Linked DNA regions of Saccharomyces cerevisiae S288C. The gene in region 1 interacts genetically with each later gene. Each region holds a gene or a part of one and is shown in the gene's direction. Other genes may lie near its edges. The genes, in order: MUS81, RRM3, ELG1 and VID22.

The links.
Region 2: mutations in MUS81 (region 1) and RRM3 together harm fitness more than expected from each alone (negative genetic interaction), as found in Saccharomyces cerevisiae (5 studies listed by BioGRID, with this or other methods).
Region 3: mutations in MUS81 (region 1) and ELG1 together harm fitness more than expected from each alone (negative genetic interaction), as found in Saccharomyces cerevisiae (8 studies listed by BioGRID, with this or other methods).
Region 4: mutations in MUS81 (region 1) and VID22 together harm fitness more than expected from each alone (negative genetic interaction), as found in Saccharomyces cerevisiae (6 studies listed by BioGRID, with this or other methods).

Annotation. Positions count from the first base shown.
Region 1 is NC_001136.10:1,244,545-1,248,563, forward strand, and holds MUS81 (Mus81p), read left to right. Parts: upstream 1-1,539; coding exon 1,540-3,438; downstream 3,439-4,019. Other genes in the region: EFT2 (elongation factor 2), read left to right, coding at 1-1,214; CIN10 (Cin10p), read right to left, coding at 3,610-4,019.
Region 2 is NC_001140.6:170,299-174,698, reverse strand, and holds RRM3 (DNA helicase), read left to right. Parts: upstream 1-1,728; coding exon 1,729-3,900; downstream 3,901-4,400. Other genes in the region: ERC1 (Erc1p), read right to left, coding at 1-1,355; mitogen-activated serine/threonine-protein kinase SLT2, read left to right, coding at 4,355-4,400. UniProt on the Saccharomyces cerevisiae protein: 5' to 3' DNA replicative helicase recruited to paused replisomes to promote fork progression throughout nonhistone protein-DNA complexes, naturally occurring impediments that are encountered in each S phase where replication forks pauses.
Region 3 is NC_001147.6:602,217-606,870, reverse strand, and holds ELG1 (Elg1p), read left to right. Parts: upstream 1-1,778; coding exon 1,779-4,154; downstream 4,155-4,654. Other genes in the region: MDM32 (Mdm32p), read right to left, coding at 1-264; PNO1 (Pno1p), read left to right, coding at 700-1,524; THI80 (thiamine diphosphokinase), read left to right, coding at 4,529-4,654.
Region 4 is NC_001144.5:868,081-873,181, reverse strand, and holds VID22 (Vid22p), read left to right. Parts: upstream 1-1,814; coding exon 1,815-4,520; downstream 4,521-5,101. Other genes in the region: PSY3 (Psy3p), read left to right, coding at 1-356; STP3 (Stp3p), read right to left, coding at 454-1,485; fatty acid elongase ELO3, read right to left, coding at 4,791-5,101. UniProt on the Saccharomyces cerevisiae protein: Has a role in the negative regulation of gluconeogenesis. Imports fructose-1,6-bisphosphatase (FBPase) into the intermediate vacuole import and degradation (Vid) vesicles. This is an indirect role and requires cyclophilin A.

The DNA of each region.
Region 1 (4,019 bases):
GTAGATTTGTCGAACCAATCGATGACTGTCCAGCCGGTAACATTATCGGTTTAGTCGGTATCGATCAATTCTTGTTGAAGACTGGTACTTTGACCACCAGTGAAACTGCTCACAACATGAAGGTCATGAAATTCTCTGTCTCTCCAGTTGTGCAAGTCGCTGTCGAAGTCAAGAACGCTAACGACTTACCAAAATTGGTCGAAGGTTTGAAGAGATTGTCCAAGTCTGATCCATGTGTCTTGACCTATATGTCTGAATCCGGTGAACATATCGTTGCTGGTACCGGTGAATTGCATTTGGAAATTTGTTTGCAAGATTTGGAACACGACCACGCTGGTGTTCCATTGAAGATCTCCCCACCAGTTGTCGCTTACAGAGAAACTGTTGAAAGTGAATCTTCTCAAACTGCTTTGTCCAAGTCTCCAAACAAGCATAACAGAATCTACTTGAAGGCTGAACCAATTGACGAAGAAGTCTCTTTGGCTATTGAAAACGGTATCATCAACCCAAGAGATGATTTCAAGGCCAGAGCTAGAATCATGGCTGACGACTACGGTTGGGATGTCACCGATGCCAGAAAGATCTGGTGTTTCGGTCCAGACGGTAACGGTCCAAACTTGGTTATTGACCAAACTAAGGCTGTCCAATACTTGCACGAAATCAAGGATTCCGTTGTTGCTGCTTTCCAATGGGCTACCAAGGAAGGTCCAATTTTCGGTGAAGAAATGAGATCTGTCAGAGTTAACATTTTGGATGTTACTTTACATGCCGATGCTATCCACAGAGGTGGTGGTCAAATCATCCCAACCATGAGAAGAGCTACTTACGCTGGTTTCTTGTTGGCTGATCCAAAGATCCAAGAACCAGTTTTCTTGGTCGAAATTCAATGTCCAGAACAAGCCGTCGGTGGTATCTACTCCGTCTTAAACAAGAAGAGAGGTCAAGTCGTTTCTGAAGAACAAAGACCAGGTACTCCATTGTTTACCGTCAAGGCCTACTTGCCAGTTAACGAATCTTTCGGTTTCACTGGTGAATTGAGACAAGCTACTGGTGGTCAAGCTTTCCCACAAATGGTTTTCGACCATTGGTCCACTTTAGGTTCTGACCCATTGGACCCAACCTCTAAGGCTGGTGAAATTGTTCTTGCTGCTCGTAAGAGACACGGTATGAAGGAAGAAGTTCCAGGCTGGCAAGAATATTACGACAAATTGTAAGAATGGTTAAACAATTTTTAATTATTTAACTTTTTCAGTTTTTGTCGTAATGTATTGGGCACCTTTTATGTCCTTTTGACTTTTTTGTAGTTTATTCTCACGTATACTTACCATCTATAGTGTTATTTCATATTTAATCATATTTCCATATTAGATATCTGCCTTCCCCTGTATAATAGTTACTATGATTTATCTTGCTTTGCCTATTCGCGTCATCAACTTCTTTTCTTACCGATCGCGGTAATGCCCTTTAAGAGTGGCATCAACATTGGCGTAAACAAAGTTTCAAAGGATTGATACGAACACACATTCCTAGCATGAAAGCATGGAACTCTCATCAAACTTAAAAGACCTATATATTGAATGGTTACAAGAATTAGTTGACGGATTAACCCCTAAACAAGAACAACTCAAAATAGCCTATGAAAAAGCAAAAAGGAATTTACAAAATGCTGAAGGTTCATTTTATTATCCTACAGATCTAAAGAAAGTTAAGGGAATTGGCAATACAATAATAAAGAGATTAGATACGAAATTACGGAACTATTGCAAAATTCACCACATATCTCCCGTTGAGGCTCCTTCCTTAACTCAGACAAGTAGCACCAGACCACCAAAGAGGACTACTACAGCTTTGCGTAGCATAGTAAACTCATGCGAAAATGATAAGAATGAAGCTCCCGAAGAGAAGGGAACTAAAAAGAGAAAAACTAGGAAGTATATACCCAAAAAAAGATCTGGAGGCTACGCTATCCTTCTTTCCTTACTCGAGCTTAATGCCATTCCTCGAGGCGTTAGTAAAGAGCAAATCATCGAGGTTGCAGGAAAATACAGTGACCATTGTATGACTCCAAATTTCTCCACAAAAGAATTCTACGGTGCTTGGTCGTCTATTGCTGCACTTAAAAAACATTCGTTGGTTCTTGAGGAAGGTAGACCAAAACGGTATTCGCTAACAGAGGAAGGTGTAGAACTAACAAAGAGCTTAAAGACGGCAGACGGAATCTCTTTTCCAAAAGAAAATGAAGAACCTAACGAGTATTCCGTAACCAGGAATGAAAGTAGTGAATTCACAGCAAATCTGACTGACCTCCGTGGTGAATATGGTAAGGAAGAAGAGCCCTGCGATATAAATAACACTTCATTCATGCTGGATATAACTTTTCAAGATTTGAGCACGCCGCAAAGGCTGCAGAACAATGTATTTAAAAATGATAGACTGAATAGCCAAACTAATATATCTTCTCATAAATTGGAAGAGGTCTCTGATGATCAAACAGTACCTGATTCCGCATTAAAGGCTAAAAGCACAATAAAGAGGAGAAGGTACAACGGAGTAAGTTACGAATTGTGGTGTAGTGGTGATTTCGAAGTTTTCCCAATTATTGATCACAGAGAAATAAAGTCACAATCTGATCGTGAGTTTTTTTCAAGGGCATTTGAAAGAAAAGGTATGAAGTCAGAGATAAGGCAACTCGCTTTGGGTGATATTATATGGGTTGCCAAGAATAAAAATACCGGGTTGCAGTGTGTGCTCAACACCATAGTTGAAAGAAAAAGGCTAGACGATTTAGCTTTAAGTATAAGGGATAACAGGTTTATGGAGCAAAAAAATAGGTTAGAGAAATCTGGCTGTGAACACAAATACTATCTCATTGAGGAGACTATGAGTGGCAACATTGGAAATATGAATGAGGCCCTAAAGACCGCGCTTTGGGTCATTTTAGTGTATTACAAATTCTCCATGATAAGAACTTGCAATTCGGATGAAACTGTGGAAAAGATACATGCGTTGCATACTGTAATTTCTCATCACTATTCTCAAAAAGATCTCATAGTTATATTTCCAAGTGACCTTAAAAGCAAGGACGATTATAAAAAGGTGCTTCTACAGTTTCGTCGAGAATTCGAACGAAAAGGCGGTATTGAATGCTGTCATAATCTTGAATGCTTTCAAGAACTAATGGGAAAAGGCGATCTAAAGACGGTTGGTGAGCTAACTATACATGTTTTAATGCTTGTTAAAGGTATATCTTTAGAAAAAGCAGTAGCCATCCAAGAAATATTTCCTACCCTGAATAAAATACTAATGGCATATAAAACGTGCTCCTCGGAAGAAGAGGCTAAATTGTTGATGTTTAATGTACTGGGAGATGCACCTGGTGCGAAGAAAATTACTAAATCTCTTTCAGAAAAGATATATGATGCTTTTGGTAAACTTTAGCAATTTGAAATATAGTCATCCCTGCAAGGTTTTATAAAGAAAAAAGTGATGATATTCTTTTAACTAATATATACATATATAAGAAAAGAAGCCTTAATTTCTCACGGACAAATATACCAGAAGCATATCTGAAAGCCGCCCCAATGCATTATGATGCCACTTGACAACTCATCAATGGTAGGTACGAAAGACATAATGAACATCAATTCCATTATCAAAAACCCTTCCAACCTCTTCCAGTGACAAACCTTTGACTTCTGGATACCAAAAATATACGAAAAACCAGGCACAAACTGTGAAAAAAGCAAAAATGAGCATTGTATTTTCATCACCAATGGTGTTAATAGTGCTCAGATATGTCATTGAAACAAATGCATTGGTCAACCAATTTGTGCAGGCTATACATGATGCCCCAAATGATCTCCTGTTCAAGGGGAGAAATTCCACACAGGTCCATGGAACGCTGCCCATCGCAGAAGCATATGCTGCAACATAAATTACAACAGAAATTAAAAGTAAATTGACTTGGTCATGACCGAAACCTACACTGCAAAGAAGTAACCCAACAGTCATAATCAAAA
Region 2 (4,400 bases), on another chromosome or scaffold:
ACGGAGATAGAGAAAGGCACTTGGTATGCAAGAGACGCAATCGTAGCCACAATCGACTGAGCGCCCAAGGCATCGGTGCCCAGATGGGAAGCGAAAATTGTCAACACTTCAAAGCCGAGGAACTCTGCCTCCACCATCACCACGCCGGGAATAGCTAGGTTAATCATCTTACGCCAGTTCTTAAATGCTTGTTCCTTAGGGATGATACCATTCCAGCATTTGAGTGGTCTCTCCTTGTGCTTGGTGGTCATTGCGTATATTAGTAATCCGAGCGTCATCAACCAGTAGTTGATCACAACCGATAATGGCGCACCAAGGTACCCAATCCCAATCTTGTCATTCCAAACAAGTAAGTAGTTCATCAATGCGTTCAAGGGTGCGCACACAAAGAGCACGATTGTGGATGCATGGAATATACCTTGACATTGTAGGAACCTCTTACCACATTCAAAAAGGATGAATCCTGGCACACCGAATGCGGTTACACGTAGATAGTTAGCCGCTAGCGCGCATAGTTCTCTCTCCGGAATCATTAGTGCTAGGATCTTTTCCGACCAAACAAACCAAACATACATCATTGGCAAGAACGCCAAGATGGTGATCACAGCACATCTCTGCACTAGCACACCCACCAAGTGGTAGTTTTTGGCACCGTATGCCTGCGCACACAGTGTGTCCAGACATGTACACAGACCTTGAATAGCAGCAAGACCCGTGATGTTAGCAGTCATAGAACCGAGTGTAACACCACCTAGCTCTTTCGTCCCTAAATGTGAGACGGAGAAAATAGATGCTAGTGACAACGAATTTTGCAAGATAAAGGTGAAGATTAGCGGCAACGCATTCATCGTGATCACTTGCGTTTCTCTCTTAAAAGTTGTGCTGATTTTCTGACCACTCTCGATCGCGCTCTCCCACGTATTTGCAATCTCAGCTGGTCTTTCTTCCTCGTCCGGTCCAATTGCTTGGCCATGTCCGTGACTTTCTATATCTCCCCCACCGTTGCCGTGTTGAGAGAGCAGTTTGTTGTCTATTAGCAGGTCCCGTTCTTCGTCAAGCAACCGCTTACGGTCGTGAGAGTCATAACCTTGTTGCCACGCTTCTTGTTGCAATGTCCGCGAATTGTTGGCATCTAACAACGAATGGTATTCACCTTCCCTCTCCGTCTCATCGTCATTGCCGGTATAGGAAGGTTCTTCTTCACTACCCTCTTGCTCTTCGCCCTCAATTAAGTTTTCTTCTGACTCCTGTGGGATGTAGTCTGCAGGCGTGAAAAGCCCTGCCTTCCCGACACTGGTGGAGTAGATAATCGATGATCTTCTGTCGTTGGTGGTATGACTAAATTGTTTAGACATAGTCTTCTTTCGTCTTCTTCTTCTATCTTCTTCACCGCTAACACAGACCCTTGACAAATCTGAAAAAGTACTTTTTAAGCCGGTCTATCTTCCCTTACCGGATTTATTTCTTTTGCCAGGGTTCTTTACTATTTTGTAGTTATCATAAATTTTTTTTTTCTTTTTAAGTTGCCGTGCTCTTCTATTTTTTTAGTCTTTTTTTTTTTTATTATTTTTTTTTTTTTCATTTTCCCTATAACGGGGCTAACCCGAATGCGCATGCATTATTCCGATATTATTACGTCAAAGAATATGTAAATAAACATCATCTCGAACAATAAGCAGAGGAGAACAAGCTCAAAAGTCGAGAGATTTGTTCTTATAAGACATCCCGATGTTCAGGTCGCATGCCTCCGGTAACAAGAAGCAATGGTCTAAAAGATCCTCAAATGGTAGCACACCTGCTGCTTCGGCATCTGGCTCTCACGCATACAGGCAACAAACGTTGTCTTCGTTCTTTATGGGTTGCGGCAAAAAATCTGCTGCTGCTTCAAAAAACAGCACGACAATAATTGATTTGGAAAGCGGTGACGAAGGTAACCGTAATATAACAGCACCTCCTAGGCCAAGATTAATACGGAATAATTCGTCTTCCTTATTCTCGCAGAGTCAAGGTTCGTTTGGAGATGATGATCCCGACGCAGAATTCAAAAAATTGGTAGATGTGCCGAGACTCAATAGCTATAAAAAGTCTAGCAGATCGCTGTCGATGACCAGCTCTCTTCATAAGACTGCCTCTGCGTCCACGACTCAGAAAACATACCATTTTGATGAGGATGAGACTTTGCGAGAGGTTACTAGCGTGAAATCCAATTCTAGACAATTATCGTTCACTAGTACAATTAATATTGAAGATTCTAGCATGAAACTTTCTACTGATTCAGAAAGACCAGCCAAGAGGTCTAAACCTTCTATGGAGTTTCAAGGTTTAAAGCTCACAGTACCAAAGAAAATAAAACCACTGCTAAGAAAGACAGTATCAAATATGGACTCAATGAACCACCGAAGTGCGTCTTCGCCAGTGGTACTTACAATGGAGCAAGAGAGAGTGGTTAATTTAATCGTCAAAAAAAGAACAAATGTCTTTTACACCGGTAGTGCGGGTACAGGTAAGTCGGTCATTTTGCAAACGATCATAAGACAATTGAGCTCTTTGTATGGGAAAGAATCAATTGCAATTACCGCCTCAACTGGGCTAGCGGCAGTGACTATTGGTGGTTCCACATTGCATAAGTGGTCTGGTATAGGAATCGGGAACAAAACTATCGACCAATTGGTGAAAAAAATACAATCACAAAAGGACTTATTGGCCGCATGGAGGTATACAAAAGTTTTGATAATTGATGAAATTTCTATGGTCGATGGTAATCTGTTGGATAAATTAGAGCAAATCGCAAGGAGAATTCGGAAGAACGACGATCCCTTTGGTGGTATTCAATTGGTCCTGACAGGCGATTTTTTTCAACTACCACCAGTTGCTAAGAAGGACGAGCATAACGTTGTGAAATTTTGTTTTGAAAGTGAAATGTGGAAACGGTGCATTCAAAAAACGATTTTACTGACAAAGGTTTTCAGACAACAGGATAACAAACTAATTGATATTCTAAATGCCATAAGATACGGAGAGCTGACTGTCGACATTGCTAAAACAATAAGGAACCTAAATAGGGATATAGACTATGCCGATGGAATTGCTCCTACAGAACTGTATGCCACAAGAAGAGAAGTTGAACTATCCAACGTAAAGAAATTACAGTCTCTACCTGGTGATTTATATGAGTTTAAAGCTGTAGATAACGCGCCCGAGAGATACCAAGCGATACTAGATTCTTCATTAATGGTGGAAAAAGTTGTCGCATTGAAGGAAGATGCACAGGTAATGATGTTGAAAAATAAGCCTGATGTAGAATTAGTTAATGGATCATTGGGAAAAGTTTTGTTTTTTGTTACAGAATCGCTGGTGGTGAAAATGAAGGAAATTTACAAGATTGTGGATGACGAAGTTGTCATGGACATGAGATTAGTGAGTCGGGTCATTGGTAATCCCTTGTTAAAGGAATCAAAGGAGTTTCGTCAAGATTTGAATGCCAGGCCATTAGCTAGATTGGAACGTTTGAAAATCTTGATAAACTATGCAGTTAAGATCTCTCCGCATAAGGAAAAATTCCCCTATGTGAGGTGGACAGTGGGTAAAAACAAGTACATACATGAGCTCATGGTCCCAGAGCGCTTTCCCATTGATATTCCCAGAGAAAATGTCGGGTTAGAAAGAACTCAGATTCCATTAATGCTATGCTGGGCACTGTCCATTCATAAGGCACAGGGTCAAACTATTCAAAGACTAAAGGTCGACTTGAGGAGAATTTTCGAAGCCGGCCAAGTTTATGTTGCACTGTCAAGAGCGGTAACTATGGACACCTTACAGGTCCTAAACTTTGATCCAGGAAAGATTCGCACCAATGAAAGAGTAAAAGATTTCTATAAACGTTTAGAAACTTTGAAATGACTTGCAACGAATAAATGCATATACTCTAGTTGAAGTTTTCTTTTCTTGTTCTATACAGGTTCGAATACTTGTGAGCCTATCTGTATAATTTAACAGAATCCCGAAATATTCATCTAGAAGCCATCTATTTAGCTAAGCCTACGTATGCGGCGATTTTTATATTATCTTTTTTTTTTTTTATAGAAGACTGCGAAATGTTGGCAGAATGGAAAGTTTCAGTGTTAAAAATAGAAACTGAAAAAGGAGATCTAGCCAGGAATATATCGAAAAAAAAAGTGAGGGAAATCAGATCCTACACAAATATTTAGATTTAATTGAAGACCCTGGTCTGCCAGATATATATATATATTAGACGAACTGTGCATTCAGTCAGCAAATCTAGGCCACAGATTTTCTTATTGAAGCTATCAAAATAGTAGAAATAATTGAAGGGCGTGTATAACAATTCTGGGAGATGGCTGATAAGATAGAGAGGCATACTTTCAAGGTCTTCAATCAAG
Region 3 (4,654 bases), on another chromosome or scaffold:
CTCTCGCTCATTATTTTTTCTCAGCAAAATAGTCTCAATATTGGAAGCCTTGGTAGTGAACTTGTCATTGCTTGGAAATGTTCGGATGTGCCTTTGGGCGATCAAACATCTAACAGGTAACGAACTCTTGTAAGGTGTTATAAAAGGTCTGACATTTCCATGATTAGTTGCGACGTAAGTTCGAATACAGTGTCTTACGAGATGACTTGTAATTGGAAGCAGTGGCCGCTTTATTGTAGGGACCCGTAAACGTGTGATTAGCATGAATTTTATAAACCTCCCACCACCTGATAATCTGTATGTGCCTTTTGTTTTAATACTTCTTGACGCAAATCTACTGTCAACTTTAATATGCATCCCTCCATAGTAAGTCAAGGATCAGCTAGAACCAATAACGAGAAGTAAAAAAAAGTGACAAAAAGTCAAATGTGTCTTTATACGAATTTTTTAACCTACATATGAAGAGTAAGGTCATAAATAATAAATGTAGGGCTAAATGCAGTTAAGATTACTACAGTATTAGGTCTGTTTTTTATCACCTCTTACGGAAAGTGCGAGCGGGAAAAAATTTTTCTTCTTTCCTTATTATCATACCGATGCTCATCACAATGAAAGATACATATTGCATCAATAATAGGCAGTTTTCAATATTCTTCTGTTTAGTTAAGAAAAAGACTTGAAGTGAAAATAAACTACATTATGGTTGCGCCTACTGCTTTGAAAAAGGCTACTGTGACACCTGTAAGTGGACAAGATGGGGGCAGTAGTAGAATTATAGGAATAAATAATACCGAAAGCATCGATGAGGACGATGATGACGACGTTCTGTTAGATGATTCCGACAATAACACAGCAAAAGAAGAGGTAGAGGGCGAAGAAGGTAGCCGGAAAACGCACGAATCTAAGACCGTAGTGGTTGATGACCAGGGGAAACCTCGCTTCACTTCAGCTAGCAAAACACAGGGTAACAAAATAAAATTTGAATCGAGAAAGATCATGGTTCCACCACACAGAATGACACCCTTGAGGAACAGTTGGACAAAAATTTATCCTCCTTTGGTCGAGCACTTGAAGCTGCAAGTCAGAATGAATTTAAAGACCAAATCCGTAGAACTAAGAACGAATCCTAAATTTACCACAGACCCTGGTGCGTTGCAAAAAGGGGCCGATTTTATCAAAGCCTTTACCTTAGGGTTTGATCTTGACGATTCTATCGCACTATTGAGGCTAGATGATTTATATATTGAGACTTTTGAAGTCAAAGATGTCAAGACTCTAACAGGTGACCATTTGTCGAGAGCCATCGGTCGTATTGCCGGTAAAGACGGTAAAACGAAATTTGCGATTGAAAACGCTACAAGAACAAGAATTGTCTTAGCTGACTCTAAAATCCACATTTTGGGCGGGTTCACCCACATCAGAATGGCAAGAGAATCTGTGGTTAGTTTAATTTTGGGTTCCCCTCCAGGTAAAGTTTATGGGAACTTACGTACCGTTGCATCTAGATTAAAAGAACGCTACTAAACATAATTTGTGGGCTTTCATCATCTGTATAATATTTATATGTCGTTTTATGGCGAAATAGAGTGAATAAATAGGTTTTTTTTTCCTTCTTTTTTTTAGGACGCCAAACGCGTAACGTTAGCGGTGATAAATTAGTTTAGTATTATTATCCGGCTATTTGCTTCATGTATTTAACGTCTTCACTGACCACCTTCGCTGCACTAAATCGTATGGTACCATAGCATTAAACTTTTTGAATCAGAGAAGGTTTTCCAATGAAAAGGCACGTGTCTTTATCTGATATATTGACAGGAAATAAGAGAAAAGTGAGAAGACAAGATGCTCTACAGATTACCATCGATGACGAAAATGATACTGAATCAGGCACTTTTGACGCCAGAACAGCCAAACATGACGATTCTTCAGTAATATTTTTAAACCACTCTGTTGTGAAGCCAATTGAAGCTGTTTCTACTAATCACAAATCTGCAAAGGAGTTTTTGATGACGAAACGCACAAAAGAAAAATGCGATGACGACGATGATGATCTTATTGTAATCAGTGATAAGAGTCCCAAAAGTGAGACTAATTGTAGCAAAATTGCACTTTCGCAGGAGCATGAAGATGATATTTCTATAATTTCCACATCGAGAATCAAATCATCGCTTCTTAATGAAAGAGCATCAAAGATTAAAAACTTCCTTAAACATGAGACAACCGACACGTTCAAAAGATTAAATAGCATCTCTAAACTAAATGAAATAGAGCCACCATTACCATTACATCAATCGATTTTCCCAGTAGGTGACAAAGAGCTGTCAGATCGGAGTGTTGATATCCCGCTTCCTTTCCGCACAATACCGCCATTAAATCATAATTTTCTTCCTAGTGACTATGAATCGTTGAAAGACAAGAATTCAGCATCTTGTATTCCTGTTCGCTATCAAGCACCGGTATTACTTGGCACAAATATTAAAAGAAATACAACTCTCACATGGCCGCAGCTATTCAAGCCTGTCACTTTAAAACAAGTATTAATTGAACCCAAATTGAAACTTCGAATCAAAAATTGGATTGAAACATCCTTTCATACGCTAGAAAAGCCTACCTTGAGGAACCGTCTATTGAACAGAATAAATCCCAATAAACAACAGGGATCTGGTGATGAGCTTGCCAACTTCATTGTACCTGATCTCGAAGAAGACGAAAACTTGCGTCCAGATTTCTACAGAAATGGCGAAGCAAATAGCAGCTTGAGCGAATTTGTTCCACTAATGATATTACACGGAAATTCAATAGGCAAGAAAACGCTGATACAGACAATCATGAGAGAGATTGCTGGCGACGATAATTCTTACCAGATATATGAAGTTAATTCAAACATGAACAGGAGCAAAAAAGATTTGCTTGATATCCTACTAGATTTTACCACCACACACTATGTCAAAGATTCCTCAAAAAGGAAAAGTGACTACGGGCTTGTTTTATTTAATGATGTTGATGTTTTATTTAAAGAACATGATAGGGGATATTGGGCAATGATCAGCAAGCTTTGTGAATTTTCACGAAGGCCCCTCGTATTGACTTGTAAGGATTTGTCACTAGTTCCTAGTGAACTTATTGCCTTGGCAAGTGAACAAAACTCTTTGTTTCATACTAAGAAAATTAGTACATCCACAGTCTATGCGTTTCTAACAAAATATTTAAAGTCCCTTGAAATCGAAGTTTGTGACGACTGGCTTCGCGATGTTGTAAAACAAAATAATGCGGATATTAGGAAGTGCTTGATGCACTTGCAGTTTTGGTGCGTTGATACTGAGGCTGATTTGATTTCATCCAAGAACAGACTACCGGTCCTAACATCAACTCTTGGTTCAAGCGTTAAAGATATATCGCAATTAACTGATCTACTCTCCATAAATGATGTTATTGGTCAAGCAACGCTCAATCGTTCCATGGTTAGACAAGAAATAGATTCTACCACAATGACCCCAGAAAAAGTTAATACTTTCCAGGATCAAAATCTGGATGATGAAATGAAACTAAAATTTGATTACGTGATAGATTATAAATTGCATTTAAATGACCCCAATAGACAACCGTTATTACCGTTTGAATTGAATATTTACCAACACATCCAAGAACAATTGGAAGCTCGGTATTCCTATGTTAGAGAAGCAAACCATAGGCTTGATAACGAATACCTTGTTAACAGGTTCAAAAAAATGACAGAATCTACATTAAATTTTTTGGCGTCAAGAATACCGAAGTATGACCATCTTCAGTCGGCAAGAAGGACGAGAAATTCGAAGAAAATTTCTGATATTTTGAACCAATTCAAAGGAATTTATAATGATGAAACTCTGAACGAAAATGCCGAGATTGATCTGCTGAGCGCCACAACTCAACAAATTAAAGCGGAGATCAATCCCTTCGTTTTTGAAATCGCTAAAAGTGACGCCAATGTCAAGAATGAAAACAAACAAATATTTGAGTTGCATAGTGAAAATGTATCAGAAAGACGATACAAAGATTTGGTCTATCAGTTGTCACAAGAGGGTGTCTTGAAAAACGTATGGTTCAACGCTGATCCGAGCATAGTCGTGAGAAAATGGGAGCATTTGCACTCAGGCTTTTCAAAGAACAAATAACACTGATATGAAATTGCGTGCATCGTTACAGGAACACGTATGTATAATAAATATAGCATGGTAGTGCGGGGAAATATACTACTACTTTATATATCAATAAATTCTGCAACCTTGCATTAAGCAAATGCAGCACAATCCTAAATTCCTTCTAATAGTTGCCTTTATTTCCTCATAGTGCATATTTCAAAACAGCGAAAAATGCAAAATATGCGAAAACTTGAAAAAAAATGGCTGATGGGAATTACAAATAAAGCGTGAATGATAAGGCGTTTATAAAAGATTTAGCTTCTTAAGTACTGTGGTTTTGATAAAAGCTAGAAATTTGTAGATCACAATTGGTCACAAAGAACAATAAAAAGCTGAATATCACTGCTATGAGCGAGGAGTGTATTGAAAATCCTGAACGTATTAAAATTGGTACTGATTTAATCAACATCCGAAATAAAATGAACTTAAAAGAACTAATCCATCCAAACGAGGATGAAAACTCTACCCTACTC
Region 4 (5,101 bases), on another chromosome or scaffold:
ATTTCAACTTTCAATTACGAGGAATAGTAATCGACAATTTGTCTTTCTTGAATTTTGAAAGCGACAAAAACTATGATGTAATAAATTTATCGAAATTTGAAAAACTGTTTAAGATTCTAAGGAAACTAAGAGAATTTTTGGGCTGCTGGATCATCACCAAAAGTTTTCCCACAGACTTCTATAATGGTATCGAAAACACCTTAGTTGATAAGTGGTCAATCAAGAGGAAAAGCGGCGTTACACTGTACCCCACAAAACTACCTGATTCATACATGAAGGGAATGGATCTGATAATCTACAGAGAAGTTGTTGACGGCAGGCCACAGTACAGAAGGATAGCCGCACTTGAAGAATGATAAGAGAAGGAAAAAAAACATTAAAAACTCAGATACATAAATTAAATATCTACTAGTACTAATAAAAACAGGGGAAAAGTCGTTATGCTGCCGGGAATCAATGGTATTTATAGCCGCATTGTTTACCTACGTGTTCGTTGAGCCAAACGTCAACGTTCTCGAACTTCAGGCCGCAATGCTTACATCTACCAGGAACAACATTTCTATCCTTTTTCTTCGTGCCTGGCGGGTATTCAAAATGCAAAGCCTTTAAATGGTTTTTGAAGGTGTCGCAACGTGAGAACACCCCCGTCTGGTGACAATTGGAAGTCTCAAAATTTAAAGGTTTCAGTTTATACGGGTACATATCCATGTCCAATTGTATTAAGGTGGAGTTGAATGGGCACTTGAATGTGCCCTTGATTTGATGCAACGATTTCAATTGTGCATAATCTGTGACAGAATTCATCGGTGTCATTTTTTCATGGGTATCATCATCATTGGGAGAAACGGATCCTCCCTTACCATCATTATGGTTCGAAAGTACTCCCGATTGGGACAGTATCTCATCCTTCCAATGTCTTTTCTTATGCCTCAATAAGTCATTGTTCCTGGCGAACCCGCGGTGGCAGATGGGACACTTGTGAGGCCGATCCTCTGGCGTCAAGTGCGTTGCCTTGTGCGTGGTCAGATTGGCATAAAAATTACGACAAATTGGACATTGCTTCTTTTTCCTTGGCTTATTGATTTTGGTGCTATGGGGGGTACTCACCCCGGCACCGCCAACAGATGAAGGACCAGCCACTTTTAAAATTGGTGAAATGGAACGTGAAGGTGATGCAGATGAAGAAGTTTCCGATGCAGAAGCGGAACCTTCCGTAGGCTGCTGCACGGAGGGAAGGAAGCTCGAGCTGGAGTTCGACCGGGACACATCATTGGAGTGCGGAAGCAACTGATAGCTCAGCATCGACGATGATGCGCCCGCACTGCCACTGCCGTTACTAATGTTCATATTAGGCAGTGTCGGATGTGTCGAGGCGGACGAAGCCTCGCCATTATATTGTCTCTCGGCTGCCTTGATAAGGTTGTCAAATGACGAGATGGGAGGCAACGTGATGTGGTTCATAGCACTATTGTTTGCATTACTCATCGCTCGCTGCACATGCCACACAAAAAACACCCACCCTGATTTCTCGAAACCAACTTTTTGTCACCAACATGCAGCGCTTACCAACAGTCTGTCTTCTTTATACCGTTGCTTTGTTCCAGATGGTACTGCCATGCTTCCAACGGCTACAAAAAAAACACCGCAACGGCGAAAAAATGGCGCAATTATTCACCGTGTAGTCATTTACCACGGCCGGGAAAGCGCGAATGGGATCAGCAAACAATAAACAACACATAACATGAACCATCAAGAGATGGGAAAGAGAGAGTTTGCTGGCAGCATCCACAGGATAAACAAGCACGAGAGCACATATGAGAGCGATGGACACACAGGTACAGAGTGCTGAAAGAGGATTGGTGTTGCCTCCCATGAATTCAACTGTATCGTCGGCGACGGCGGCTACGACGGCCACAAATACGGATACAGATACAGATGGAGATAGAGATGAGGAAAGGGAGTCGTTAGCAGAGGATGGTAGCGAATGGGTGCCCGCATATATGCTTACCAGAGACAGGTCACGCTACTTGGGCCATTTTCTGGGTGTAGACAAGATGCTGGAGGCAGTAAAATGCAAGTACTGCGGTGTGATAATAAGACGGCAAGGAAACAGCATAAGCATGGCGGAAGCCTCGCAAACTCATTTGTGGAGCACGCATAAGATAGACCCGAATGCCAATTACTATAGCGGATGGACGGGCGTAGAAGCAGGTTCTACTTTTATGGTCAGACCACCTTTGAAGAACCATCAAGGCGGTAGCGCCACAACGAACAGCATTGCTAACCTGCTGGAAATAGACGAGGACTTTTTGAAGAGAACTAGGGAAAAAGAAATGGCCTTGCCTCTTGTGCAGTCGCTTGCGATCATAATTGCATCAGAAAACTTGCCTCTGTCGTTCGTAGACAACACTGCCGTACGCCTTTTGATCAATCAGAACGCCAACTCACTAAGCTTCATTGACCATGACTTAATTCTGAATGCTATCAGGTCCATCGCATATAATCTCGATAGAATCATTCAAAGGACAGCTTTGCGAAACAATTCCGATTTGTCGTTGATTATCGACAAAAACTACTTACTAATGGACCCAACCGATAGATCTAATCAGTTATCAAACAGGTTGAAGAACCAATTATTTGAAATGCAAAAAATCAATTTTTTCTCTCTAAGCCACTCCGTTTGGAATAACACGATATCTATATTGAGTATTCAGTACTATGATGATTTTCATTCCCAAGTAAAGACTTTACCCCTTATCATCCAAAACTTACATGAATATAACAATGACCCCAAACTATCTATTCCAGCTCAACTGCTCAAAATCTCACAAGAATTACCTGGTTTACAAAATACTGTGATTTCTATCACTCTACCAAGATCTCAAATAGTAGATCTACTAAACGTAATGGATAGCCAACCCTTTTTCCCGAATACGTATACGAATGCTAAAAACTATTATCACAATTGCATTATTTCCATAATAAATTCTGCGATATTGCCATTGTTCGGTACGCCTAAATCCGCCGATATTACGCATCCGAGACAATCATCATTCTCCAAAGAACCTTTGACTTTATTGGACTCTCTAATTGATTTGTCAAATATAGATATTTCGAATTCCATTTTTTCCAGAATCAATTCTTTTTTGGATGATTTACAATCTAATTCGTGGCAGTTAGATAAATTCCGTTCATTGTGTGAAAAATTTGGCTTCGAATTCGTTTGTTCGAAATTCGATTTATCCCGTTACTCTACCGCCACCGTTTCACTGCAAACTTTTTTGAACCTTCGTCCCATAATAGAAGAATATCAATCTTCTATCCAAATTGAAAAATTCAACGAAATCGACTTTCAAATAATAGACTATTTATTAATTACTTTGAATTCCATCAATAGAATACTAAAGTTCTTTACTTCTTCCAAAAGCTTAAACTTTACCTATGTTTTGTTCGCCATAATGTCTATTGAAAAGCATCTGTTGTCCACCTTGGGCAGCCTACAATTTCAACGGTTAATTGCACCATTTGAAACATTTTTGTCTAAAATTCAAGAATTCAAAACCATTTTATTTTCAGACGATATGAACCTTTTAGCAATGTTCTTGTGTCCTGCGATTTTATTCGAAAGAGAAGTCCTGGAATATTCTTTTCATACCATTTCACTTTCTGAAATAGTCGACAAACTTTCTACATCAATTTTCAGTTTATTGAAAAGGTTTTTGAATTTACACACAATAGGCAACGTTAACAACAGTCATAATACTTCCAATCATAGCAACATGAACATTCACACTGATAATCAGACGAACAACATCAACAATAGAAGCGGCAACAACAGCGACAATAATGATAACGAACATGATAACGACAACGACAACCACTCGAATTCAAATACGCCCGCATCAAGAATAGATATAGATCCTACTGGTGGAGAAAATTCTGTATTACCGGAACAACAACCACAGAATAGCAATAATAACCTATCATTTGGTTCTCTTAGCGATACCCATCATTTATCGGACTCTACCATATCAAAGGAAATAGATAGTATCTTTTTACAAATCATTCAAGAGGACTTATATGATTACTTGAGTACAGTAAACTCCATCGTACCCATATCTTACAGGTCGTATTGTGAACAAAGCAATTTCATTAGAGATAGTGGCCGTTTCAAGAAGAGAATAATAACAGAGGACTCTATTATTGGAGAGCTAGAACAACCAATGAACTTCATTGAAGAGTTACTTGATATCCATGTTCCTGTGTGTAACGCGTTCTGGTCCCAATACTTAGATAATGATGCTGGGCCGATAATTAGAATTTTGTTCAAGATAATGCAATGTCAGTCATCTTCCTCCATTAGGGGAGAGTACTCATTTTTAAATGACTTCATTCCCAGAGTACATCCCGATTTAACTCAAGAGATTATTAAAATTAAATTATTCAATGATCAATTCGTGGCAAGTAAAGTGGATTACGACTTGGACACTTTACAAACTGCAAGTCAGTATCTTCCATAGGACATACAAAGGAACAAAGTCTGTTTGTTTTAAATTTTAGCTGCTATATAATTTTATTTTATAATTGTAATGTATCACTACTCCTCACTGTAAGCGTGCAATTCTTTGGGCAGCTAAGGAAATGATTAATCAAAATGGGAAAAACACCAAGCCAATAATCTATCATTTCTATAATAATGATTTCATTTATCGTACATATTTAATATAAAGAAAATGTTAACATTTAATTTTTTTCTTTTTCATTCGCTGTCAAAAATTCTCGCTTCCTATTTAAGCTTTCCTGGAAGAGACCTTGGTGTTAGAGGTCTTGACACCAGTAGAAGAACCGGATGCAACGGAGCCGGAAACTTCAGATTCCTTCTTGACTGTCTTTTTACCACCTTTCTTGTAAGATTGGATGTAGAAGGAAATAAACAAAAGCAAATAAGATGTTAGAATCAAATACCCATAAGCAGCAGCAGCCTGAGTACCATAACAAGTACCCTTGTTTGGTAAAATACCGTCCAAGTATTTGTGAGCATAGAATGTATAGGTAGCAAAGTAAACAAATACCAAGTCAATCAAAAATTGAATAATTTGGA